2 linked regions of the Caenorhabditis elegans genome follow. The protein of the gene in region 1 interacts with the protein of each later gene in a biochemical or structural test. Each region holds a gene or a part of one and is shown in the gene's direction. Other genes may lie near its edges.

Region 1 (8,352 bases):
GGATTGTTCGGAGCCACCACCGCCGCAGCCGCAGCACCAACCTCATCTACAACTGGGGGATTATTCGGATCTACCGCCGCTGCTCCGGCCGCTTCACTTCCAACCGGAGGTCTCTTCGGATCGTCAACTCCTGCTAAGACCCCAGCCGCACCAACAGCAGGACTCTTTGGAGCATCATCGACAACCACCACATCAGCTCCAGCTACTGGATCTTTGTTCGGAACAGCTCCAGCAACCACAACAGCTACTAGTGCAGCTCCAGCGGCTTCTACTGGAGGATTGTTCGGTGCTTCATCCACAACTACGCCTGCTTCTACAGCTCCGACTGGTGGATTATTCGGAGCAGCAACCACAACTGCTCCCGCCGCAGCAGCTCCGACTGGTGGCCTGTTCGGGGCTGCGACTACAACTGCACCAGCAACTGTAGGTCCGACCGGTGGATTGTTTGGAGCAGCAACTACAACAACACCTGCTACTGCCGCTACATTGGGACAAACTCCATCTACAGTGTCAGCAACTCCATCTCTTCCAACCACAACCAGCACTACTTCCACTCTTCCAAAGCCAGCAGAAGCTACTCCAACTCTTGGACTTGGCCTAGGGCTCACTTCAACACCATTGGCTAAGGGAACTGGGTACATTTTGGTTTACTTTTTAAAAATATAAAAAAAACTCTTAATTTCAGATGGACAACATCAGGACTTAAAGGAGCTGCAACTACATCTGCAGGCCTGAAAATTGGTGCAAGTGGAAGCGACACACTTTCTGAAGAAGAAATCAAAGCAGGACTCGGTGGAAATGATACAAAAGCCTTCTTCACCGCCCTTCAAGAAGTTGTCAATAGTTATCATTCGGAAATTGCGAAGCAGGAACGAGTATTCCATAATAAAATGCTCGAGCTTAATGCTTATGACCGTGAGCTCATTACACTCGAGCCAAAAGTTTTAGGATTGTACAATGAGATGGATGATTTGAGTGGAAGCTGCAAGAAACTGCATTTCAACGTCGCCTCCATGACTTCTGTCTTGAACGATATTGAGCAAAATGTTGTTGAGCTAGAGAACAAGCTGAGCCTTCCAGAATGGCATACTCTTGATTACAAATTCCCACTTGATAGCAGATTTGCGTCGAGACATGATGTTCAGAGAGTGCAAATGTACGTCAAAGTTATTGATTTTTAATGGATTAAATTTTTAAGAAATATATTAAATTTAGCTAAAAACTTCAGTTTTCCCAACTTTTTCTTTGTAAAAGCCGATGGAAATTGATTTTTTTTCATATATTGCCCTATTTGGCATGCTTTGGTTGATTATCTCACGCTGTTCCGTTGATTTGGCTCGATTTGCATCCAATTTTCGTAATTTTTGAATAGCTATCGACTTAAAATATGACTAAATTAACGAATTAACGCCAGATAAATAATCAAAATATGCAATAAATCGGGATAATTCGATAAAAACTATATTTCAGCCGCTGCGACAAAGAAAAAGTTGACAAAATTTCGCAAAATCCTGCCATAAAACTATCAGATTTTTTTCTTGTTGAGAGTTTTTGAATATTTAAGCAAAAAAATCCACAGGTTTTTTTTAAAATCATAATAACTAAAACTTTTTGAAAGCATTTTTTTTGTTTTTTGTTCCGAAAATACTTAACACAATGCAATCGACAGTCTTGAAGACGAAAGAAAAAAAGCAAAAAGCGACAGCCCTGGACCTTACTCCCCTTAAAAATCAAAATAATAATTTCAAAAAAAAATTCCAGCGCTCAAATGATGCTCAACGTGGATTCCCAAATGAAATGTGCGGACTTCGATCTCGATCAAATCACCAAGTCACTTAACACAATGCAATCGACAGTTTTGAAGACGAAAACCGAGACCCCGCTGGAGAAAACTGAGCTTATTATGAAGAAGCAGCTGCAGAAGCTGATGGATCTCTCCACTCAACACGGTACTAATTTTAGAGTTTTTAATCAAATTATTAAATGTCAATTTTTATTTTACAGATGCTACTCGTGATAAGCTGAACAAGCTGAAGGATGACCACAATCTGAAAACGAACAACTCGTCGAAGGCCTAGATTCTTACTTTTTATTTATATATTCATTTTTTCTTTAAATTGAAACTCTAATTCTTTAAACCTATACACTTTCACCTGTTTTCTTCATGATCACCACCATCACACTATTTATTTTTTTTGTTATTGTCTGTTTTGTTGTGTGTTTGGTTGAGTTTGTGAATGAACTTGTTTTTAAAAAATATTGATTATATTTTGGTTTTTTTTTTCAAGTGTTTTTTAAAATTACACTGATATATTTTATATTTTCTTGTTTGGAAAATATTTACTTGTGTATTTTAACTCTACATTTTAAAATTAAATTTTAAATATAATTAATTGTTTTATTTCTTCATTTTTTTTTTTTTTTTGGCTTGGAAAATTTTATTTAACTAAAAAAATTAACATTTTAATATGTGGCCCAAGTTATACCCAAGTATTTACCTCTTGCTCTTTAAATTTCAACGAATTTCGTTGAATTTCCCCCATTTGCGGGGGTCACTATTGTTATCAAAAGATCCTTATCATAGTTTTTGATGCTCTAGAAATTTCTAATTGCTTTTCCTTGTGATTTTGAAAACGTTTACAGTGATGTTTCTCTTTTTTGATTTCATCAATTTATCTTGCATCCCTAGGAGCTCCTAGTCAAATGTTAGTATTTTGTGATTTTTGAAAGTACGGTAGCTGCGAGATCGATCGTTTCGAGACTGGAAACCCTACTTTTCATCAAATATCGTAAGATTCCTCGAAGGAGTAACCACCTGTATTGAAAATCGAGGGTGTCAGGTTTTCAATTTTTTGCTAAAATCGAAAAACTAAACTTTTCTTAGAAATAAGTTTTTTAATTCACCAATTTTTGTTTTTGATGTTGATGAAAAAATATATTTACGAAAACAATTTTTAATTTTCTTTTCAAAAAATAATAAAAATAGCCAAAATTTAAAAAAATTTTTTTGATTTTTAGTGGAAATTCAAAAACCGACACCCTTGATGTAAAATTTCCCAACATTGAAAAAGAGTGATATCATTTTTTCCAAATTAGTATTCGTCAAAGTGCAAAAATGCTCTCCGTCTCTTCTCAACGTTGTGTCGTCAATAGTGCTGCTCATTCGCAATTGTTGCTCTCAGAGAGCAGAAGTGGAGGATTATTCGTACACCTGAAGAGACTATATTCCCGCATTCTTTCCTCTTCGTCTTCTTCTTCTTCTTAACCGAAAAATTCGTCAAGCTTTCGCCTTGCTCATTATGCAAAATCTGTTTGCCCCGAGGTCCGGCTAAATGAAGGATCCGAGTGTGTTTTCGTTGAAGATGTCTTTCTTCTTTTCTGTTTTCTCTCTTTTTTTTCTTCTCCAGCTCCACGTAATTGGTGACTCGAGTAGAACTCTATAGCCATTCAGTCTTCTCCAACATCGTCTAACAAAGCCTCTCTTTCAGCTTCTATCTTCTCTCTCTCTCTCTAGTTGACGTCTTCTACGTCTCTCTCTCTCGTTTCAATCTCACTAACCCCCTATTCACGTGAATTCAGCGTCGTCGTCGTCGTCGTCTTCTCTACCCGTGATTCTCGTGACTTCACATAAGCACAATGTCTGCGCCTCCGCTATACGGGTATGATGATAGTCCAATAAGGAAGAGAAGCTCTCTATTGCAGAGTTGAATCTTTTGGGCTAAGTTTATTAATATGGCCATGCACCAGCTTTTTTTTCACATTCACTTCTCTTGTTAAGAAAATTTGAGTAAAATTCGAGTAAAATTACGACTTTTGTAGAATCTGCTATTTTAATTCCAGTGGCCTAGATTTTAAGCATATAATTTGAAGTTTTTAAAACTTTTTACCGATTTTTACTTTTAAAGTTAAAAAAAAAATTATTGATATAATAGTAGGTCCTAAATTATTACGATGTATGCTAGGTCTACTAGCTCTTCTGAAATGAATTTCCACAAATTTATTCGATCATTCCAGTGAATTGGAACTTCCCTCTCAATTGAGACTACAATAATTTGAACATCGTTAGTTATGCGATCAATTAAAGGGCGAAAGGATAACGCATACACTTTCGTTTGCCCGATGTAGATAACAGAAAAGCCATTAGTTGAGAGGCGTCAGTTTCATTATAAACTTCGTAATTCACTTCTGTTTCATAGGCAGTTGCAATGAAGTGATCGTACTTTAGATTTTTTTTTTCTAATTGAAATAATTTCTCCAAAAGCCCATGACCGGAAATCAATTTTTGAAATTTTCATCTGTCGCACACTCTCTTTTGCCAATTCTGTTTGGCTATATATATATGTGTGTGTGTGGTTTTGTGCATGGCTACGAGGGGCTCGACCCAATTAAACAGCACGAAAGGGAAAAGGAGTCCCTCTCTTTTTCGCTCAGCTTTCTCTTATTCCCGATTCTAGAGAGCCGCGCCCCCGACATTTGACATGGAAGAAGAAGAAGAAAAAGAAGAAGAAACATATGAGATCTCACGAGCGCACATCTTCTGAAATGAATTCCAATTGCACCTTCTTATTCGTGTTTCCTGCCAGCAGACTACTTTATTTCTTTTTTTTCTGATCTATGTGTCTTAGAATCTGAAAAAAATTTTTGTCCATATCTGGGCGAGACCCATGGAAATTAATGTAATGTGCCTTTAAAGGAACATGAAAAAGAAAATCCGAAAAAAAATTGAATTTGCAAAAAAAGATATCTCCAAGAAGCCTATTGCTCATTTATTTTATTTTGGCAAAATTGAAAAAAAAAAACATTAACATTTTTTTTTAAATTTTCAAGCAGTTATATTCGGTCATTTAAACTAAAAAATTGTGGCTCTACTCCACCTTGAAATAACCACAATAGTAAGTACAGTAGTTTCATTAAAATAATTTACATTTTTTGGCAGCAAAAAAAGTCTGCTCCCAAATAAAACCCAGACCCGCCGTTCATCACTTGTGTTATTCTTTTCTCGAAAAAAAACGACTCGATCCATTCGTTTTCAGGATATGCTTCTGTGTGTGTATGTGTGCAAAACGAAGAAGCACGTCATCCGAAATAAATAGTCACACATCTCTTTGCTCCCATTTTCCCTCTCTTTCTCTGGTTCTCTCTATCTCTCTTCATCTCTCTTGTTATAGACGCAGAGATAACCCTCCGCTCACAACCACGCTCACGAGACACTCACCACGCGCTCACTCTCTTCGATTTTTTGGCTGTGTTGGTGGTGGCGGTGGCAAGAGAGAGAGAGTGAAAAAATGTGAAAAAAAGGCATGGGTTCCTTGGAATATATATGTTTGGAAGAGGTTATATTGACTTTAACTAACTTTTTTTGCTCAAAAATTTTGCTCTTTTCTGCTATTTTCGCCAATTTTATTTGCTTCAAAAATGTTTTCTAACATGCTGGCCGAACTTTTCCCTATTTCTTATCCATCTTCATCATATGATTCGACCTCATTTCGTAACTTCCTTCACTACGCTCCTCAGTCATGAGGAAGTATTGATTGGTCTGCCTCGTCCACACCACGTCATCAATTTTCCAAAGTTTATGTTTTTTCAGTGTGTGTGTGTTCTCTTCTTCTATTACTTCTACCACCTTTCTCTCTCTTTTTTCACTTTTTTGAGCATTTTCCGATCAATCAATAATCGATTAATCAATTAATCAACTTCCAGAAGAATGTCATATGCCTACCTTTTCAAGTACATTATCATCGGGGATACTGGAGTAGGAAAATCCTGCTTGCTCCTTCAGTTTACCGACAAACGTTTCCAGCCAGTTCATGATTTGACGATTGGTGCGATTTTTAAATTTTATTCAAGTTTTTTTTTCAAAATAATTATTTTCCAGGCGTCGAATTCGGAGCCCGTATGGTGACAATTGACGGAAAGCAGATCAAACTTCAAATTTGGGACACAGCCGGACAAGAATCATTCCGCTCCATCACTCGTTCCTATTATCGTGGAGCCGCCGGAGCTCTTCTCGTCTACGACATTACACGACGCGACACATTCAATCATTTGACATCTTGGCTTGAGGATGCCAGGCAGCACAGTAATTCCAATATGGTTATTATGTTGATTGGAAATAAGAGGTAACATTTTTTTAAAATATAGATTATTGGTTTTTAATATATCGAAAAATAGGTTAACTACTGTTGAAATTCAACGATCGATCCTTGAATTTTGAAAATAAAAATTTTCGCCGGTTTTCCACTGCATTCTCATTCGAAAAAAAAGAACAAAACTAAAAAAATAGTAAAATCGAAACCTTTTTGATTAAAAGCTGTGAAAAAAAGGAGAAAAAACAGTGCCACTGGGTTGCGAATTCACGCTCCGCATCTCTTTCTGTGTGAAGTGTCAAGTTGCCTTTTGCAAAATTCAAGGATCGATTGTTCAAAAATTTCTCTACAAAATCGAACAATTTATAGAAATTTGGTTTTCCAAATAAACACATTTTTATTCAAAAAAATAAAATAAATGTTTTCAGTGACCTGGAAGCCCGTCGCGAAGTGAAACGTGAAGAGGGAGAAGCATTCGCACGAGAGCACGGACTCGTATTCATGGAGACATCTGCCAAGACGGCTGCCAACGTGGAAGAGGCGTTCATCGACACTGCCAAAGAGATCTACCGTAAGATTCAAGAAGGCGTGTTCGACATTAACAATGAGGCAAACGGAATCAAGTTGGGACCACAGCACTCTCCAAGCTCACCAAATTCTCCAGGTGGAAATGCGACGGGAGGATTGGGCGGTGGATCTGGATGCTGTTAATTTTTGATGATGTTTCTTTGAATGAGCTTTGAATGTTTTAACTAAATCGTTTGAATACCAATCTTTTTTATGTTTCCTCCTCTTTTCGAATGTCGTTAGGCACTTTTCTAGTCTCCTTTCTCTCTTCCAGAACCATAATTTTACTTTACATATATATTGCAATTGTCTCTTATTACTACCATCATTTACTGTATATTGTCGCCTGCTTTTTCTCTTTCTCCTCTCTTTCTCTATTTTCTCTCCTTTTCATTCAGTCTCTCACCAATTGTGTGAATATCTGAAATTCCTGTGATTTTCCACTCAATCCATCAGAACAACATGTTGTGAAAATCCCGCTCTCTCTCCCTCATTTCCTCTTAAAAGTTTGTATGTAAGCTCTACTTCTTTTTTCCTTTTCTAATTCTTTCCATTTAATTACTATACGTCTCCAAGCTATCAAAATTTTCAGTGAAATAAATGAATTTTATGAGCGTTTCGTCGAGGATGGAATATATTTTTCTTAAAGTTGAAGTTCTTTTTGATTATTTTCTACAGATTGATTGATAAAAGATTGAATTGATAAGAATATGGGGAGAGACGAAAATTTAGAAGAAATTAGTGGCAAGATTTTTTTTTTGGAAACTTTACAAATATGGTTTCTTAGAAGATGCGAAATTTTTCGATTTTCGTGCCAGAAGTACTGTACCAGGTCTCGACACGACAATTTTTGTTTAATGTGAAAAGGTGCGCGCCTTTAAAGGGTACTGTAATTTCAAACTTTTGTTGTTGAGGAATGTTCTTTTTTTCATGTGCTTTTATTGTTATATTTTAGTTTTTTAATCGAAAAAAATTAGAAAAATCTATGAAAATTTCTCAACAACGAAAATCTGAATTTACAGTACTCTTTAAAGGCGCACCTTTGGTTTTTTTTTGCAAAAAAATATTTTTCGCTTTTTTCGAAAAAAATGTGCGAACCTGTCGCTATAATTGAAAAACTAGCATTTTTTAAAAATATTCTTACCAAAAATAAAAATTTTTTACCAAAAAAAATCAGACATCGATGACTCTATTATGTTCTCTGAACATTGGTTAACTTCTGATCTCTTTGATATTTTTTCTTCTTAACAATTTTCTCATTTCTTCTTTTTTCTTCTCTTCGCAGATTTCGAAATCAAATTTAATTTCTTCATTTTCAGCCCCACAAATACACCTCAATGGGCCCACATCGTCTCCTCTACCAGGCTCTGTGCAAAGCCGGAGATAAATTTGTCTATCCGGTGCTTCCAGCATTCGCCAAGCCGGCTTGGAATCATGCGGCCGGTCCGAAAACTGTATTTTTCTGGGCCCCAACCATCAAATGGACTCTTATCGGCGCTGGACTCGCTGATTTGGCCAGACCTGCTGATAAGCTTTCTCTTTATCAGGTAGGGATTTGTGAAATTTGTTTTCTGGTCCCGCAGCGAAAACTGGAGTGATAATTTGGTGTGTGTGTGTGCCTTTAAGGTTACTGTAGATGTATTGATTACATATTTTTAGAGGTTTTTCTCGTTGTTTTCTTCTCGTTTGTTTTTCTTTT
Region 2 (7,689 bases), on another chromosome or scaffold:
AAAATTTTCCAAGTGCAAAAAAAACCATTTCGCCTTAAATTTGAAAATCTCGTAGGTATACATGTAGGTACGCCTTCATGCCTACGTGCCTTTTTTTGTTCTGTCTATTTTTCTGCTCAAGGCTATCACAAAAAATTTTACCAAAAAAAAAAAAACGATGAAGCTTGTCAACTCAAATTCGCTCAGTAGGCACGCTCGAACAGGCAGGCGGCAGGCAACGCCTACATTGCCTACTATAAGCAATAAATAATATTATCAACCTTCAAAGCATTTCCTCAGTTTCAGGTTTGCTGTTCGTATCAGTTGCGGGTCAACAGCAAGTACCTGTAATCCAACAGGCTCCGCCAAATTCACCAGCTCAGCAACAACAGCAAGCTCAGGCTCATGCTCCACCGGCTCAGGCCAAGCCGATCGTCCAACAAACCCAACCTGCTCAAAAACAACAAGCTCAAGCTCCACCAGCTGCTCAGCAAATTCCTGTAGTTCAGCAGGCCCCACCTGCTCAACCAGCACAGCAAAAGCCAGTGGCTCAGGCCCCGCCGGCTCAGGCCAAGCCGACTGTTCAGCAAGCTCCAATACTAGTGGCTCAAGCTCCGCCAAATCCGCCTGCTCCCCAAGCTCAACAACATCAAGCTCCAGCTCCACCAGCTGCTAGGCAAATTCCTGTCCAGCAACCTCCCAAACCTGTAGTCCAGCAGGCTCCTGCTCAACAAGCTCCAAAGTCAGTGGCTCAGGCACCGCCGGCTCAGGCCAAGCCGATTGTTCAGCAAGCTCAAGCTCAGCCTGTAGTCCAGAAGGCTCCTACACAACAACCTCCAGTAGTTCAACAAACTCCTCCACCTCAGCAACCTGTGGTTCAGGCTCCAGTGGCTCAACAAGCTCCACCATCACAGCCACAACAGGCTCAAGCTCAGCCTGTAGTTCAGCAGGCCCCGCCTGTTCAACAGGCTTCACCAAAACCAGTGGCTCAACCGGTTCAACAGCAACCAGTGGTTCAAGCTCCACCTAAGCCAATAGTTCAGCAGGCTCCGGTAGTTCAACAAGCTCCACCGCCAAAGCAACAACAGGCCCAAGCTCAGCCAGTACAGCAGCCGCCAAATCCAGCACCGGTTGTACAACAAGCCTCGGCTCCAGTCCAACAAGCTCCGCCAAAACCAGTTCCTCAGCAGACTCCTCCAGTCCAACAAGCTCCACCAAAGCCGGCTGTTCAACAAGCTCCGACCCGAGCTGCTCCGGCTCCGCCAAAACCAGCGCCCCAGCAGGCTCCCCCAGTTCAACAGAATCCTCCTAAGCCGGCTGTTCAACAAGCCCAGGCCCCAGTAGTACAACAAGCCCCTGCTCCACCAGTGCAGCAAGCTCCGCCAAAACCAACACCTCAGCAGGCTCCCCCGGTCCGACAGAATCCTCCTATGCCGGCTGTTCAACAGGCCCCATCCTCACAACAGGCCACACAGGCTCCGCCAAAGCCAGCTCCTCAGCAGGCTCCCCCAGTTCAACAAAATCCTCCAAAACCTACACCTTCTCCAGCACCACCAGCTCAGAAGGCCCAGCCCGTTACCCAACAACAGGCTTCAGCTCCGCCGACTTCACCAAGTGCACCGGTTCAAGCTCCGAATACCCCTACTCAGAAGGCTTCAAGCCAAGATCCGATTGTCCAGCAGGATCCACCACCAAAAGAGCCATCAATTTCTAGTGAACCTACAACCACAAAGAAGCCCAGAAAATCGTTCTCTCCGGGATCAGCCACACCTAAACATACACAACCTTCAGAAAATGGCAAAGCCTCGGGCAAGACTGTTGGCAAGGAAAAGGAGTAAGCTACAGTTTTGGCGCGAAGTTTTGGTGTCAGAGTGTCTCATTTCAGCGTGATCTACGTAGATCTACAAAAAATGCGGGAGAAAAGACGCAGAGTTCTCAACTGATTTCGCATGGTTAAGAACGTGCTGACGTCACATTTTTTCGGGCAAAAAATTGCCGCATTTTTTGTAGATCAAGCCGTAATGGGACAGACTGGCACCACGTGCAAAACGTCAGTTTAAAGGCACTCGCTGTTTTCTGAGAACATATACCAAATTTTGCAATTTAAAATTTGAATTTCCAATAGTTTTATTTTTGTTTGTTTAAATCATGGAAATTTGGCCAAAGCTGCATTTTTTTGTTGATTTTTCAACCTTTTTCCGAAAAAATTTGGTCGGCGCTACTATTTTTTTAACGTTGGCGCGAAATTTAAATTTTCAGATACCTTTTTTTTTTGGGGAAAAATTAAACATTGATTGGCGGGAAATACAAATTTTATGATCAATATTTTGTGCCGGGAAATTCAAATTTTCATTTAAAAAGTTTTAGCGGGGAATTCAAATTTTCAGAGGAATATTTTATGGGGGAAATTCAAATATTCTGAGAATTTGTTCGGCGGAAAATTTAAACTTTCACAAAAATATATAATGGTGGGAAATTAAAATTGTCATTAAAAAAGTTTTAGCGGGAAATTTAAATTTTCTGAAAAATATTTTATAGCGGGTAATTCAAATATGCTGGAATTTTTTTTGGCGAGGAATTGAAATTTTCTGAAAAAAACAATTTTTGGCGGAAAAATCAAATTTTCTCAGAAAAATTTTTGGCGGGAAATTCAAATTTTCCGATAAATATTTTATGGCGGGAAATTCAAAATTTCTGAGAAAAGTTTTAGCAGAAAATTCAAATTTTCTGAAAAACATTTTTTAGCGGGAAATTCAAATTTTTTCATGAAAACGGCTGATTTTTTGGTTTTCCCCCAGCAAGTATCCAAAACAACAAATCCCTCTTAAATTTTTTTCCAGATCCAATTCTCCAGAACTCTCACCAAACGTTATCTTCGCAATTTCTGGAGCATTTTTCGTGTTACTTGGGATATGTCTGTTGAAATGCTGCAAACGAATTTCAACAGAGGATAAATTAAAAATGTTGTGATTTTATTATTTTTTTCAATTGTAGTTTTAACTTGGAGTTTTGTAACGATCTAATTAATGATCTTTTCTTTGTTTTTTTTTCCATTTTTTTATTTTTTTCTAAATCATAAATTTCTCTGATATGTTTTTGAAATGTCTAAAATAAAACCAAATTTTCAATTTCATTTTTAAACGCAAAATTAATATCATAACACTTCGAATTTTCAGAGCGTACCCCCTGTTGCGCTATTTTATAGCCTAAAGCATTGTGCTCAAAGAGCCCCCCCCCCCTCCGCACACTTTTCTTGCTTTTCCTCCTCCTTCCCTTTTTAAGGGGAAGAAAATCGATAGTGTAGTAAAAGCTGAGAGACGCAGAGAAACATGGAAAGTGGCGTACGTCATCGAGGGCTCCGTGGAGCTCCAAATGAGGAGCATGTGCTCATTTTCAGAGGGGAGAAACCTTCTTAACTTTTTTTTGTGTTTGAGGACTCATCACAAAAAAATTTTAATTTCAGACTTTCAATCTAAATGCTCAGAACTTAGTGTTAATCCAAATAAAATTTCTGTTTTAAAAAAATGGAAGAAGACGTAGTGGAGTCGTGTGAAGCAACACCGGTAAGTTTTTTATTTTATTTGTATTATTATTAAATTTTTCAACATTTTGGCGTTTTAACTGAAGTTCGAGAATTTAAAAAAATTTAAATTTTATTTTTGAACTGTTAAAAAAATAATATAGTAAAGTTATAACTATATATATACAACACTATATATACTATATAACTATATATATATATACACCTTTTTCCCAGACAAATTCCACATATGGAACACCTGTTCGTGTAGCATCGCCCCTTATTCATAACGAAGATGACGTCATCCCGACGACTGCCGTGGAAAATTCCTTATACTCGAAATGTAATGCAGTACAGGAACAAGAATTTGAGAGGTTTGTGGGAAGTTTTTTTTGTGGAAAAAAAAATTTAAAATTGCAGATTAGAGTCGCAAAATGCAGAATATCGAGAAAAGCTGCTGAGAACAATTCGAGAACGGGATTTGAATGAGGAACTTTTGAAGTAGGTTTTCCGAAAAATGTCGAAAATAAAAATTCGTAAGCATGAATTTTGATGTAAAATTTTCAGTTTTCAAATTTTGCAGTGCGGAAACTGTAGATAACTTTTTCGCAGCTCAATTAAAAAATAACTTTCAAAAATTGTTCGAATTATATTTTTTTAAGGTTGTGTCTAAAACATGTTTCTAGGCCTAAGGCTTAGCTTAAGCCTAAGCCTAAGCCGAAGCCTAAGCCTAAGCCTACGCCTTAGCGTAAACCTAATCCTAAGCCTAAGCCTACGCCTAAGCAGAAGTCTAAGTCCAAGACTAAGCCTAGGCCTAAGAATAAGCCTAAGCCTAAGCCTCAGCGTGAGCTGAAGCCTAAACCTAAGCCTTAGCCTGAGCATAGGCAAAAGCCTAAGCCTAAGCCTAAGCCTAAGACTAAGCCTAAGCCTAAACCTAAGCCTAAACTTTAGCCCATTTTTGTTTGCAGAAATGTTCAAAATCAGCACAAAAAAGAGTTGGATGCTCAAGTGCGAAGAATTCGAGAATTAGAAGTTCAACTCAAAACCACAACGGACAGAGGACTGGCTCAGGAAGCACATTTTAATGTGACAACTAAAGAAATGTCACAGAAATTTAATTTGGCTCTTCAGCAGGTATTTTTTTTGTTTTTTTGATGTACAATTTTTCAGCAATTTTCATTTAAATATGGGCCACAATTTCAGGCCACAAAAAAAGCCGAACAATGTGATAAGGAAAAGAACGAAGCGGTTGTAAAATATGCAATGAGAGAAGGAGAAATGATGAAGTTAAGGGACGAAATTTCCAAGAAAGATAGTAATATGAAAGTGATCAAAGAGGAATTGGAAGCTGCAAGGAAAGCACAGAGTCAGGAAAATTTGGATGATTTGGAGAAAACCGTGCAGAACTTGAAAGTCGAGATTGAAAAGTTGAAGCATGAACGTTTTGATTTTGAAAATCGAATGAAGATTGCCGAGAAACGAGTTGAGGTGGGACTACGACTTTCAAACAAAATAGGCAAAAAGAGCTTTTTGACTGGAAATTTAAAATTTTCCAAAATTTTTTAAATCCGTTTTTTAATGGTATTTAATAATTTTAGCATCATATGAATCAGGGGAATTTCAAAATTTGCCCAGCTCGGCAAATTTGGCAAATTTGCCACACATCCCTGATATGAATGGTTTTTAATCATTTCCCCACTAGACGTACCCCACGCCTACCTCCCGCCTACATTGCCGCCTGAGCTTACTCTTCTTTCTATTCTGAGCTTAACCTTCAATGTGTAAATACCATACCAAACACCCGATTTTACGCCAGAATGCAGAAAATAGGCGCTAGGTAGGCAGGCGAGAACGCATGATGATTGACCGACAATTCTACAAAATCATGTGGTGCAAGGCTGTCCCATTGCTGTTTGATCTACAAAAAATGCGGCAATTTTTTGCCCGAAAAAGTGTGACGTCAGCACGTTCATAGCCATGCGAAATCAGTTGAGAACCCCCTCTTCTCCCGCATTTTTTGTAGATCTACATAGATCACACCGAAATGAGGCACTGCCGAAAAGTTGAAAAAAATTCTGACGATTTCTGAGAATGCGTATTACACAACTTATTTGACGAGCATAATATCTCGTAGCGAAAACTACAGTAATTCTTTAAATAAGGCTACTATTGCGCTTGGGTCGATTTCCGGATACAATTTATTATTCGATACAATATTTTTGTTGAAAACACAAAAATCGAGCCCGTAAATCGACACAGTCGCTACAGTAGTCATTTAAAGAATTACTGTAGTTTTCGCTACGAGATACTATGCTCGTCAAATATGTTGTGTAATACGCATTCTCAGAAATTAGTGTTCCTGTAATATTTTACATTAATTTTTAAAAAATGATTTTCAGAGTTTATCATCCAACCTATCAGAGTCCAAACAACAGGGAGATATGCTCAGAAAGCAACTGATTCAGGCAAAGGATGATAAACATATTATTCAGGTACAATATTCATGGATTTCTGGCTTCCCTCATAAATTGAAATGGAAGAGTTTGCCGAATTAGGCCATTTTGTCTCGGCCATATCTGGGGTAGATTTACGGCGCGTTGCGTGTCGCGTCGCGGCTCGAATGTAAAACTAAATGTATACGCGTTGTCCGGCGGGCAATTGTCAATGGAGCGCAAAAAATTCAATGAGGAAGGCCAGAACCCCGTGATTTTCACAAACATATAGCTCTTGAGCTCTTGATTACTTTGCTCTTTTCAGCAATACGAAGTAAAGCTTCAAACAAGTACTGCTGAACTTGAACGTCGACTCCGAGAATCTGAGCATGACGTAGAACGACTCCGAACTTCTCAACTGGAAATGGCAACTAAATTTGAAGAGGCTTCAAGAGAAAATACGGATCTTCTTTCCAAAATTGACATTCTTCAAGACCAACTGAGTTTAGAAGAGGATCGGCGGAAGCTTTGTGAAGAGCAAATCGATCGATTGAAAGGAGTTGAAAGTTTTGTGGAGAGTAGTAGCCATCGAATTGAAGAAACCGAAAAAGAACGAGAGACTGCAGAAGAAGATCGAGAACAAGCGGAACTTGAAGCTGCAGAGTATAGGGAGCAAGTGGAGAAAATGTTGAAATTGACACAGGAGTTGACGGAGAGGAATATGGAGTTGCAGAGGAAGTTGAAAGATGAAGAAGGGAAGGTGAGTTTTTGTAGCAGAAGGAGATTTCCAAAAATGTATATATTACGCGGCAATTCAAAATTTAAAAAAATTTTGCTACTTGTGTATTACAAAAAAAATTTTGTTAGAATTTTGGACTATGGGCTTAGGCTTAGGCTGAGGCACAGGCTTCGGCTTAGTTTTGAGCTTAGGCTCAGGCTGAGGCTTAGGTTAAGGCTTAGGCTTTGACTTAAGCTCAGGCTTGGCGTCAGTGGGGGAGCGTTAGCTCCCCCACTGACGCTATTTAGGGTTAGGATTACAGCGTTTTTTTCATTTTTCAAAGAGTTCCCGTTGGCCGATCAAAGCGAAATTGAACACAGAGACGTATAGGCCACTAAGAAGCTTCCGTGTAAAATTTCAAATTGATTCCATCAAAACTCGCCGAGTTATGGAGCTTAAGGTGTTTTCAAAATGACCCTCAACTATTTTTTAAAATTTGAAAGTTTGGCGTTTTGTCAGTTTTCTCCCTAAGCTCACGAAAATTTAATGACAGGAGGATCGTAGCGAAATAAATTTTCTTGTGAATTTTCAGCCGATTTCGATTTACAGGAGCCGAGATATTAAGCTTGCAAATTAGAAAAAAGTTCGAGTCCGGGTGCGGGCGTCTAAATTTTTTTATGCCCTGTTTTTCGTTCACTCTGAAAACGCGCGTGTAACTTGACGGTGGGTGGATGGATTTTGATGCGGTTTTTTGCTCTCTCTTCAAGAAGCTTGCCCCACCTCTGTATGCTTCATTTCAGAAAGATTGGAGCTCTTTGAGCCGAGATATGAAGAGTATTTTCGAGTATCCTCCAAAAATCACGTTTTTTTCTCATTTTTCGCCTCTTTTTTTTGCAGGAAAATTCGAGTTTTTGCGATTTTTACGAGATTTTTTAGCAGTTTATAGTACTCGACGAGATGCGTCGAAAAACATACAAATCATCCAGATCCATCAGCTATGAGCTCTTTTAGAGAGCTCCAAAGTCAAATTCGCAATTTTG

The links. The genes of interacting proteins can lie anywhere in the genome.
Region 2: the proteins of unc-108 (region 1) and cccp-1 form a complex in vitro, tested with the Caenorhabditis elegans proteins (one study listed by BioGRID).

What each region holds. Positions count from the first base shown.
Region 1 is NC_003279.8:3,819,247-3,827,598, forward strand, and holds unc-108 (Ras-related protein Rab-2), read left to right. Parts: upstream 1-3,636; coding exon 3,637-3,659; intron 3,660-5,700; coding exon 5,701-5,822; intron 5,823-5,875; coding exon 5,876-6,119; intron 6,120-6,514; coding exon 6,515-6,797; downstream 6,798-8,352. Other genes in the region: npp-11 (Nsp1_C domain-containing protein), read left to right, coding at 1-635, 686-1,156, 1,762-1,949, 2,005-2,078; mpc-2 (putative mitochondrial pyruvate carrier 2), read left to right, coding at 7,991-8,200.
Region 2 is NC_003281.10:12,469,437-12,477,125, forward strand, and holds the start of cccp-1 (CARD domain-containing protein), read left to right. Parts: upstream 1-3,439; 5' UTR 3,440-3,503; coding exon 3,504-3,542; intron 3,543-3,736; coding exon 3,737-3,873; intron 3,874-3,919; coding exon 3,920-4,000; intron 4,001-4,185; exon of another isoform or gene 4,186-4,239; intron 4,240-4,467; coding exon 4,468-4,633; intron 4,634-4,702; coding exon 4,703-4,987; intron 4,988-5,898; coding exon 5,899-5,991; intron 5,992-6,256; coding exon 6,257-6,691; intron 6,692-7,689. Other genes in the region: Y49E10.29 (Prion-like-(Q/N-rich)-domain-bearing protein), read left to right, coding at 286-1,813, 2,820-2,949.